Arabidopsis thaliana: one gene and its partner. The protein of the gene in region 1 interacts with the protein of each later gene in a pairwise test. Each region holds a gene or a part of one and is shown on either strand. Other genes may lie near its edges.

Region 1 (5,445 bases):
CATCATAATCATCATGATATTTATGATCATAATGATGATCGTTTCTCTCTTTCAACTTTTTCTATCTTCTCCACTACATCATGGTTGTACTTTCGAACGTGTGACTATCTCACGGAGAAGAAGATTTCTTGGACATTAGTGTTCCATTGGCATTATCCTCGCTGAGCTTTTTTTTTTCTCTATGAAAACAGAAAAAAACAAAAAATAGTTTTGTTTCTACTAAATCAGAAAGTTCTTCTATAATTTAGAAGATTTTTCTTGACCTTGCAAGGCTTATTAGTTTTGTATTGTTCTTTTATTTTCTTTTATCTTCTCTTCATTTTTGTATTTTATTTTGTATTGGTTTGTTGTTTCTATTCCTCCTGAGCTTTATGTATAATTCACTACTAATCCCATAATTTCTCAGTTATTAGTTCCTCTGAAACGTCTATCTAAATATATGTAATCTTCGTTTATCTGTTAAGTGTTTGATAAGTGATACCTTAACGATGCTAATGGCTACGCAAGAAATTCACTCTCAAACATAATTTTATATACACACCATTTCAATGTAATGGCAAGGCCAAATTAATTATTTGTATTACAACATTTTCACTTATTACAAAATGAATAATCACCACACCATTCACAGAATCAATTAGCACATTTTTAATCCCAAAAAAACTGGGATCAAAAATTTTATAAAAAAGGTGAAAAAAAAGAGGATTGAGTTTGAGTTAGCAAGCACTTCCACCGGTTGTAACACAATGGTTAAGTGCAGAAAACCAAGAACGTTTCCCTTCAACCTGCGACGTTGATCGCCTGAATCCTACACCGGATCTTGAATATGATCCACCAATTAACCGGCTTCGAGGTTCATCAACATCTGAGCCACCAAGGCAGAGACTTGGAGGAAACCGGCGGCAGCTAAGAGACCGAAACGCTGATGATCTAGCGGATTGTGGAGTTCGAGAACCCGTTCTTGACACAACCGGTTTACAACTGTAGTGAGGGTTAGTTAGGAGAGCTGTGTCTAAGACATCAGAGGAGCAAGTGCAGAAGGACAAGGAGATGCTTGTTCTTGATGATGTTGATGTTCTTGTTGTTGCCGTTGTATGGGGAAGTTTGGTGAAAGATACAATGCCATTGCGACAGAGAGGACACGGGACAGAGCCTGGTGTGACGTTTGAGGTCTTTGACGATGTTATGCTTGTGGTGCTTAGGTATAATGCACAGTTTGTGCAGAACTCATGAGCACATCCTGTTATGTCACACACAACAATCAATTCAATGTTTTAAGCAAAGATCATTTTCGGTAGTGAAAGTGGTACATTACCATCTGCTGCCACAGTGCATTTTCTTTCCAAACAAACGGCACAAGGGTCACGACATGGAGTCAGACAATCGTTTTCTCGCCAGCCGCATTCTCTGAAATCCACAAACGAAAAAAGACCAATCAGCCACAGAGATCATGCGATCATATAGGGTGTTTCAGTTAGGTGTAAAGTTTACATACTGAGCAATATTGACAATGCTCATTAAAGGAAGGCAGAGGAAAGGAGAGGGGACATTTGGCAAATGGAGTTGTGGTTGTTCTGTTGTTGGGTTCAGGATTTCTTCCAGCCAGTTTCGGTGCCATGAACGAGCTACCATCATTGGTGTCCATCTAAAACCAAAACATGAAGCGAATTAAGACATTGAGGTCTATATCAAACTGGTTGATTGGATTTAGCATGCTGAGAAATAGAGTGATCTAATACCCGTTGGAGTTTACGGCAGCTAAACAAGCACCCTTACTGATCAAAAGCTGAGAAAAACAAATGCCAAATGAATTCATATGTGAACTTTAAACGAAACATAACAGAAGCATCATGATTGTCTAGTTAAGCATGTATACCTGGCAACACTGCGTGTTTCCACCACATGAAGCATAATGGAGAGCTGTACTCCCAGCACCTTCAATATATAAAATCAAAGAGCCGGAGCGAAAAACAAAATTAAGTCTTTCACATAAAGAATCTCTTCACTCATTGTCAAAGTTAATCAATTAGAGCATATGATAGTAACCTATAAGATCTATAGTAGTTCCATCTTCCACAGTGACCTGAGTAACCGAAGCTCCCAAATCCAAGAGTAACTGCACCGTCTCTATATGTCCGTTCAAAGCCGCCACATGAAGAGGTGTGATTCCACCATCTGCTGCTCTGTTGATCACTTCGTGAAGAACACTACAACCACAACATCCAAAGAACACATTCAACTAATCATCATCAAGTGACTACAGCATTACCTCAATTCTTTACAAAAAACACTTTTGACCTAGAATCGAATCCAGCAACTGAAGTTTTCTTATTCTTTAAAAGGCTCCAGCAATTAGGAACACTTGGTATATACTCCGAAAGCAAGATCCTGATACACCGAGGGTGACCATTTAAAGCCGCAAGGTGTAAAGCAGTACCACCATTTAAGTAATCTGATCTGTGAATCTAAAACCCGAACAATCAAGAAACACAATCATCATTGTTCCAATATCCCTGACATATTTTTAAATCACAATCAGTCAGAAGAGTTGATCAAAGTCTTACATTAGCACCAAAAAGAATCAGAATCAAAACAACCTCCCAATGACCATGTTGACAAGCTTGCATCAAAGCCGTCTGTTTCCAAAAATTTCTTGTATTCAGACTACTTCAAAACCAATCAATAATGCAAAGAACAAAAAGACACTAATCACAACACCTGTCCACGGTAGTTCCGGAGATTAATATCAACTCCTGATTCCACCAACAGAGAAACTATCTGAAGATAAACAAAACCCAAATCACCAATCACCATAAAAGTCAGAACTTTAGAATCTCTAATCTTACAAAGTATTGATCTTTCAAGTAATTACAGTTACCTCGTGGTGGCCTTGAGCGGCGGAGTAATGAAGAGGAGAGTTACGAACGCCAAAAGTAGAGTAACGAGCGAGTCTTGGATTGTAATCTAAGAGAGCTTTAGCTTCCTGTAAATCACCGTCTCTGGCCGCTGATACTAAGCGTTCGCCGGACGCAGAACAACCGAATGAGTTTCCGACGAGGCTTAGAAACCTCATCGTTTTACGATACAAAATTGAAATTTTGATCGGATCAACCCTAACAAATCACCATCAACACAACAACACGAACAAATTTTATTGGATTCACAATTTGCAGCAAACCCAATTCGAGAACCAGCTCGGAAGAATCGAAGAATTGAATTTAATTTCAAATGATTGCAACAAGAAAAATTTGGTTTTTATTTTCTTCCTCTGTTTTTGTTGTTGTTGGTGTTCTTTAATTCTCTTATGTACAGATCAGATCATCATCATCATCATCATAATGATCCCTCTTTAAGAAAGAAAGAAACTTTAAAGAATTAACCAAAAAAAAATCAAAACTTTAAAAGAATTGACCAAAAAAAGCTTTAAACTTTAGAGGAAAGATCATCCAGAAAACTTCTCTGACAATTGTAATACAGAGAACATCAAAAAGAATGGTGAAATTAAGTTGTGGGATTTTTTTTTTGGTCAATTGATTAAGGAAAATAACAAACAATAATAACAAATTGGTGATTACTTTATTTTTAAACCAAAAATGGAAAAGAATTGTTCTAAATTTTTTATTGTGTGTGGAGGATCTCTTAATATTTTGTGATGGTGACACTAATTAATTGACTTTTAATTATTTGAACAAAAAAAAAATATGACAAAGCCAACGTTGTAGCCAGAGGTTTCGATAAACCAATAGCCGGAATTCGCGCGTTTTTTTGTTTTAACCAAAATCTTAATGATTATAAAGATTCTCTAACAATGAAAAAAAAAAGACATTCTTCATCACACCATAAGAAAGCTTTCTCCTTTATTACATATAATTAAATAAATAATCTTACTATACTGCGTAATTGAATAAATATAGGTTCTTTTTGTGCCAACAAATAATGATTCAATTAGCAAGTCTCCAAAAGTAACATGACATTAGTGGAAAAACAAGTGTATAATAATGAAATGTGGAGGAGCATGTGGGTCGTGTCACGTCATGCTTATAATTGCATTTGCATTAGCAAACCTATAACATTAATGACTTCAAATTTTAACATTAGCAAATCAGAATGATCATGCCAACTCTCAGCAAATATATTTATCAAAAAAACTCTCAACAAATATTACTTGATTTTAAAGATGACCCAAGCTATCTTCAATCTCACTTTCTGTAGAATCACTAATTTGTGTCTCACAATTGTGCAAAACTGTGGCCAGTTGCTGTAAATTGACAGAAAATTCTTTAGTTGACAATTTGTCTTGTACTTTGGAACTTGTAGCAGAGTTTCTTTGTCCAGAGTTAACACTATCCAAACTAAACTCCAACTCCCAAACTGGATGTACAAGCTTAAATCTCCACTTGTGCTTTATGTGGAACTTCTCCACACCAAAAATGAGTTGTGTAATTCAGTCTGAAACATGTCCACTATTCCACATCTATGTTCTCTCGAGTCCACATCACACAATCAAGTAGGTGCATGTGCACATGTTGGAACCACAAACACAACACCCTCACTGTCCTAGTGTTTTGTAAGAGAGAGATGTGAAGTAGTCTAGAATGTCTCATCAAGTCGTCCTCCAAATGTAACCATATATCCTCACCTTCTGTACACATTTTCAAAATAGCTGCAATGGAAAGTGAAGTTCCTGAAAAGTCTAGAGTATAACCAGCTCAATTTTGACTTTCTGATATCCTTTGTTGAATGGCCAACTCCATAGACATTAACACACACTCATAGTTTGGCTTCATAGTCTGCTTTGACAAGCCAGATCCAGACTTTTGAACATTAATTCTCATTCCTTCCCATGCACTGCTTCAATTTCGCGAGAAACATCTTGCATAAGCCTATGTCCCAAAAGTTTCTTCAAGTTCTCAAACAACATGCACTGCAGCTTTCTCGAATTCCACCTCACAACAGAACTTGTTTTTTGTCATTTTGATCTCCTCTAAGCTAAATTTAAACTTGAATTTCCAAGCTTTAGGGAACTTCATATGGTTCATGTCTCTGACATACTGCATCATCCTCATTTTGCACCTACTGTTCCAGCTTCCCTTGAGTCTTTTTATGTTGTTCTTGGTATAGCCCTCTGCAAATACGCATGCTTGTAATTTTGTCAGGCTACTTTTTTTCTTCATCTCGTTGACAAATCTATAACAGATTCTGTTAAAGTGTCTGTCTTTCGTTCGTAAGATCATTACGTTCATATAACAATATCTTTGATGCTTGTTTTGTTATTCCCAATTGTCTTGATTAACGAAGAAAAAAACGAATCCTTTTAATTTTTTCTCCTCTGTTTGTTAATCCGTTACTGCTCTGTTAGTCTAATGTCAAAGAAACCACGTTGCTTTTGAACAACAATACATCTGTATTGGGAAATCTATGAATACTTGACTTCTATATTTAGGA
Region 2 (5,442 bases), 440 kb from region 1:
CTGAGGTAAGTGAGCTTTGTTGTATTTGTAATTTACAAAACATCTTACGATGTTCAATACAAGAAATGGCCTTAATTTGATGTTATTATTCAATCATTAGTTATCCAAGAGTTTATACACTTCTTCTACTTTGTATTCGGGTTTGGCTCGGATTTACACTTGTCTGCATCCATTTTACGGGCTTGACAAACATCGAGGAGCATTGAACTTGTTCAGACTAAGTGAAGCATTCTTCGCCTTTACCCCGGTTCATGAGGGACTATGTTTTCGTCAACCGCAACTAATCCTTATGCGTATCTTATATCAGTATATAACTTACGGCTTCTGCAAAGAAGGATTGGTCTCCATTTCCATTTACAATTCAATTCAGACTAAAAAGTTTCAATCTGATGATCCAAATAGTTCAGGATCAAGACTGTTAAACCATTAAATATCAATATTAAGCAAAAACCAGATTCTAACTTGGTGAAATCAATGTGCTTGTAAGGCCAATTAGAGAACCAAAAACAAAATGCAAAATGAATTTTATTACTTGCTTCTGCAGAGTTCGTCACAAAACAATTGTTACAATGTCACAAGAACAGAACATTTTACATATGTATAAAAAAATGAAATAATAAACAACATTTTGTGGCATCTTAACAAGAGAACTGTCGTGTCGGCTGACTACAAAAGAATGTGTTATATGATGGTGGCTTGAATTTTTCTTCTTCGTCTTCTTCTTCTCAAATCTCCCTAGTATTGTTCTATATCTACAAAAGCCCTAAGATTTCTTCTCCTCAGCAAAATTAGAACCAATGAATCAGTAGTGCACACACACTTAAGCCGCCGAAATTCTGGTTTTGATAGGCTTAAGCTTTAATCCCATGCTTTCAGGAGAGAGAAGCTCAGGTGAAATACAAGAAGGGCTAAGTGGACTTCTAGGGCTCTCGGAGAAAAGAGATGGTCTGTATAATCCGTAACCCATCAAGAAATATTCCATTGGGATCAACATTGCATGTGGTTGCTCCTCTGTTACCATTGAACCACAAGCCTGAACCTGATAATATTTCCAAGAAAACATCTATTAGTAGCAAGAAAACCAAACATGTGTTTATATGTAAAGTACAAAGGATGAGGATTCGTTTTCTCAAACCTCAACCAAAGCACAGTATCCTCTATCCAAAGTTGCTGCCATGTGAACAGCTTCTGAGTAGAAAGGAGATTGATCTCCGATGAAGATAAGTGTCCTGCATTTTAGTTTCTTCAATCCACTTGAGATGTCAGGTCTCCTGCAAGAGCAAAGGTTTGGTTTGCATAAAGTTAAAGAAAAGTCAATATTTGACACCATGAATGAATGAATGCTTCTAAGGTAAAGGATTTCGAGGTGTTTGTTGTGTTACCGGTCAATGGCGTCAAGAAATCGCAAAACGTTTATGCCTTGTCTTTCATCAAGCAGCTGAGACAATCACCAAAAGTGCAAGGTGTGAATCACTGATACAGTAAAATCAATCTATTGATGAAACAGAAAAACAACAGAAGAGATAAACACTGACTCTTCTGCAAGCTTGTGCTATATCTGACTCTGGAATCTCAACGTTACCACGGACTTCCTGTAGCAAGCAGTTGCAACCGGTTTAAATAAGAGAAGTCTGGAAATGCAACAAGTGCAGAGAGAGAGCAATGGTAACTGCAGTGAACACACCTTACTAAAATATCTCTGAAGCAAAAATTCCTTTACCACTCCACACATTCCGTAATAATATAACAAGTTTGTGATAACCTTGTTGTAAAACCATTCAGACCAAGACGGCGCCTTGCATAACGGTGAGACAAGAATCAAACCAAGAACCCGTTCTCTATGTTTCATCTGAAAAGTTTTAAAACATAGAAGAGATGATAAACACAGTATTCTTCTGAAGCAATGGGCAATGAGAAGAGAAAAATAAATAGGAACATACCGCGAATAAGGTGAGGATATAAGCACCTGCAGTCACTCCCATACACATCACAACACCAAGGCTGAACAAAAAGCTTATACATTGTTACCCGAAAAACAAAAGTTGAGAACTTCAATAAGCCAAAAATAAGGGATTCCATCGTTACCCGAAAAAGTTGAGAACTTCAAGGATCTGATCTGCCAAGTTTTCAGCAGAAGGGACTGAATCATTAGGACAAATTGGAGCAGCTCCTAACTGCAAGAAAACAGAGAAGTCATGTGAGTAAGTAATCACGTCAAGCAAAGCATACGGCAAGTTAAAAAAAGAGAAACTAAAATATTGGACCTCATGCCCAGGTGGACTGATATGGTAAATGCAGAAGTTATGAAGCAGCAATGAAGCTGCTTCAGGACAGAAGAATAACCCTTGGAAGCATGACATATCTGAAGAAGAAACAACAAAAACATTAATAAATTTAGCCATTACATTAGTGCCTATAGAGATTCTTTAGCCTTACGGTTTAGGGCTAAATCAGGATAAGTAATCAATGCTGGCTTTTCTCTGTCTCCATAGACAATGACAGACACAACACCACTAGCAGTTTTAACACGATGCTCCTGAACACAAGAAACCAACAAGTTATAACAAAAGTAACGGATCATGAAACCAACAGAAAAAAACTAAACTTTTAACCATACCATTTGTCTACTCCATATTCATAAAACATGTGTTTGTAAACAATGAATCTATTTTCTCGTTAGTAAATGTATACTAAAGATAGGAATATGACAACTGACTTTAGGTGGAAAAGAAATGCTTTGATTAACACACACACAAAAAAGAAAACATCTCTGTTAAAGCTTTTCCATGTGCAGCTTTACTACTTTTAAGGGCAAAAAAACAAAACCAAAAACTTGATCATCAACAACCAAAGAGAAATGGCCTAATTCTAATCATTGTGGTTTTTTTTTAATAAAAAGGGAATGACAGTTTAAAAAAGATGAGCTAATATGAGTCTTAATGAGATAATAAAGAAGCATTAGTCTTATTAAACAAAAGGTTAATGGTAGACAAAAACAGCTGGCATTTTCTTTTCTTTTTTCTATAAGATAAAAAAATCAAAAGGCAATAAGACAAAGAATAAGGAATACAAAATAATAATAAGAAGAAGATATCTTTGAATAGAGAGAAGAAGAAGATCCCAAGAATAATCCCATCTGGAAATGAATCATAATAATAAAAGAAGTTTCACAAATCCACAAGCAAAGAATTTCTCCAAGAACATTTGATTCAAACAAAAGATGAGTCTTTTTTTTACAAAAACAAATGAATCTAACAATGCCCACATGTCTGTTCTTCCCCAAATCAACAGAAAGATTAGATTTAAGCAAGTTTAAGATAAACCCAGAAACAAAAATCAAAGCTTTATTCGGATCCGAGTTCAAAGGTTAAAGAATGAAACCTTGCCACCAAGATAGATTGTTCCAACGTCGACGGAGACGGCGCCGTAAGAGTCCGTCATTGGCAACAAAAGCTCTTCCGCTTAGCCGTCACCGTCGCCGTCGTTGTTTTAAGAACGCCGGGATAACAAGAGCTTCTTCTCTTTTCTTCTTCTTCTTCTCCCAACCTCTAGATTGTTTTTTGGCTTTTCTTTAGCTTATATACAAAGCGATGCCTTTTCTCTCTCCTCTCTCTTAAGACCTCTCTGGAAAAAGAAACGTTTTTTTTTCGTTTTCCTTTTTTTCTTCTCTTTCGTTTTACTCTCTCTATAAATTTTGCGGTGATTTCTCCATAGACGCCGGTAGTCGTAACATGACACGCGAACGGTCAAAAAACTTAAAATAAGAAACATTTTTAATTTGATTTATTTATAGAAACTTATTTTTGATAAATATTATTAACCAGCTCGAATTTCACCAATAACAGTCGAATACTAATTCGGAAAAATTGCTGTAAATAAATTGGATAATTGTATAAATGTAAACAAATATTAAATGTTGATAATTGGATAAGTAAGGGAGGTGCGAAGTTTTGGTTAACAACAAAATTAACATTAAGCAAACCGAATATAAATTTTTAGAGACTGTTTAGTTTTATTATTAAAAAAAAAAAGAGAAACCAAATTTTCTAAAAATACTATTACATATAAAAAATTATTTTTATGTAATAATATTAAGAACATCAATATTTAATAAACAATTGTATATTTATACTATTCGCAATTTTTTCACTTTGAGTTGGAAAAAATATATCTTAGTAGAAAATTAGAAATGGACTAATCTTAAACCATCAGATAGGCTTTCAAACATATTCCTATCATAAGAAACATGATGAGTAACACCACTATCTATGATCCATGTATTTTGTGATAACACTTGTCTAGAGGACGTTAGAGAACATAGTAACCATAAAGTCGAAGGTGAGAAAGAGATATCATTGAAAGCAAAACTTTGAAGTGACCAAATCTGCTGAGTTAGCTGATAAGACCTTGGCAAATTCGTAATGTGAAATCTAGTATCCAAGTCTTTCCAGATCTCTGCAGCATCATTGAAACGAAGTATACTCTTATAGATCTGCTTTGTAACAGAATTAAGGATCCTAGATTTAACCATACTGTTGCATCGTGACCACACTCTAAAGCTAGGATCAGATTCAGGAGGTCTTGGTAAAGTTCCATCAACAAAAGCAATCTTATTCTTAACGTTCAAAGAAACAAACATCGCAATCTTCCAAGAAGAGAAATTAGATCCATCAAGTACCTCAGAAACAAGTGTATTCCCAGGACTCACCATTTGAGAGCGCGAATGGCGAATAATGAGCATCCGAGAAGTCGAACTGTGGTAAAGGATAGATCGATGGTTTTGAATTGAAATTTTGTTGAAACGGATTCGAAATTGGTGGAATCGGTGGAATCGGTGAAGCTTGAACACGATCTGGAGTTTTCTCAGCTGAAGTTTTGCTCGATCTTCTAGTACGACGCCGCAATTTCTCTACGGAAACCATCGCAAGATCAACGAAGCTCTAAACAACTGAAATTTTCCAGAAAACGTAGAAAATTGAAGAAACAAAGAATCAACGAGTTTGGAAGATCCAAGAGCTCGAAGATACTCAGAGTTTAGGTTGAATCGGATGAATCTTCGAGATCCATCACTCTGATACCATAATAGTTGATGAACGAATTCAGAGAAATGAAGAAGATGAGAAAAATTTGTTATTCTTCTTAATTGTTCTGTTACATGAAACACTCTTTATATGTAGAGTGTTCCGGTTTAGTAACCGGTTTACATTGTACCAAACAACAATACAATAACCGAATTTATGGTTAATATCTTAAGTTAGACCTATTTCAAAACAAGCCTAATTTTCACAATAGTCAATTTTTTGTTGTTGAATATTTGGCCGAGAACTAGACTTCAATAATGGGGAAGAATAACTAAAATCGGTTCTTTCTCCTCTCCCAAAGTCAACTAGATTCACCAAGAATAACTAACTTTGGTTAATGATTACATGTTCTTAAAGTTAT

What was found. The genes of interacting proteins can lie anywhere in the genome.
Region 2: the proteins of XBAT32 (region 1) and NDL1 interact in a two-hybrid assay, tested with the Arabidopsis thaliana proteins (one large-scale study listed by BioGRID).

The regions. Positions count from the first base shown.
Region 1 is NC_003076.8:23,394,073-23,399,517, forward strand, and holds XBAT32 (uncharacterized protein), read right to left. Parts: upstream 3,579-5,445; 5' UTR 3,074-3,578; coding exon 2,879-3,073; intron 2,779-2,878; coding exon 2,719-2,778; intron 2,637-2,718; coding exon 2,565-2,636; intron 2,466-2,564; coding exon 2,299-2,465; intron 2,208-2,298; coding exon 2,047-2,207; intron 1,936-2,046; coding exon 1,877-1,935; intron 1,787-1,876; coding exon 1,740-1,786; intron 1,646-1,739; coding exon 1,496-1,645; intron 1,408-1,495; coding exon 1,316-1,407; intron 1,241-1,315; coding exon 717-1,240; 3' UTR 513-716; downstream 1-512. UniProt on the Arabidopsis thaliana protein: E3 ubiquitin-protein ligase that mediates ubiquitination of ACC synthases (ACS). Negatively regulates ethylene biosynthesis probably via ubiquitin-dependent degradation of ACS4 and ACS7 enzymes.
Region 2 is NC_003076.8:22,955,985-22,961,426, reverse strand, and holds NDL1 (N-MYC downregulated-like 1), read right to left. Parts: upstream 3,799-5,442; 5' UTR 3,442-3,798; coding exon 3,382-3,441; intron 2,919-3,381; exon of another isoform or gene 2,621-2,918; coding exon of another isoform or gene 2,618-2,620; intron 2,537-2,617; coding exon 2,437-2,536; intron 2,363-2,436; coding exon 2,265-2,362; intron 2,175-2,264; coding exon 2,086-2,174; intron 2,002-2,085; coding exon 1,941-2,001; intron 1,850-1,940; coding exon 1,685-1,849; intron 1,593-1,684; coding exon 1,536-1,592; intron 1,439-1,535; coding exon 1,383-1,438; intron 1,272-1,382; coding exon 1,136-1,271; intron 1,040-1,135; coding exon 821-1,039; 3' UTR 511-820; downstream 1-510. UniProt on the Arabidopsis thaliana protein: Interacts with the heterotrimeric G protein beta subunit GB1 and plays an significant role in GB1-dependent regulation of lateral root formation. Involved in a signaling pathway that modulates root auxin transport and auxin gradients.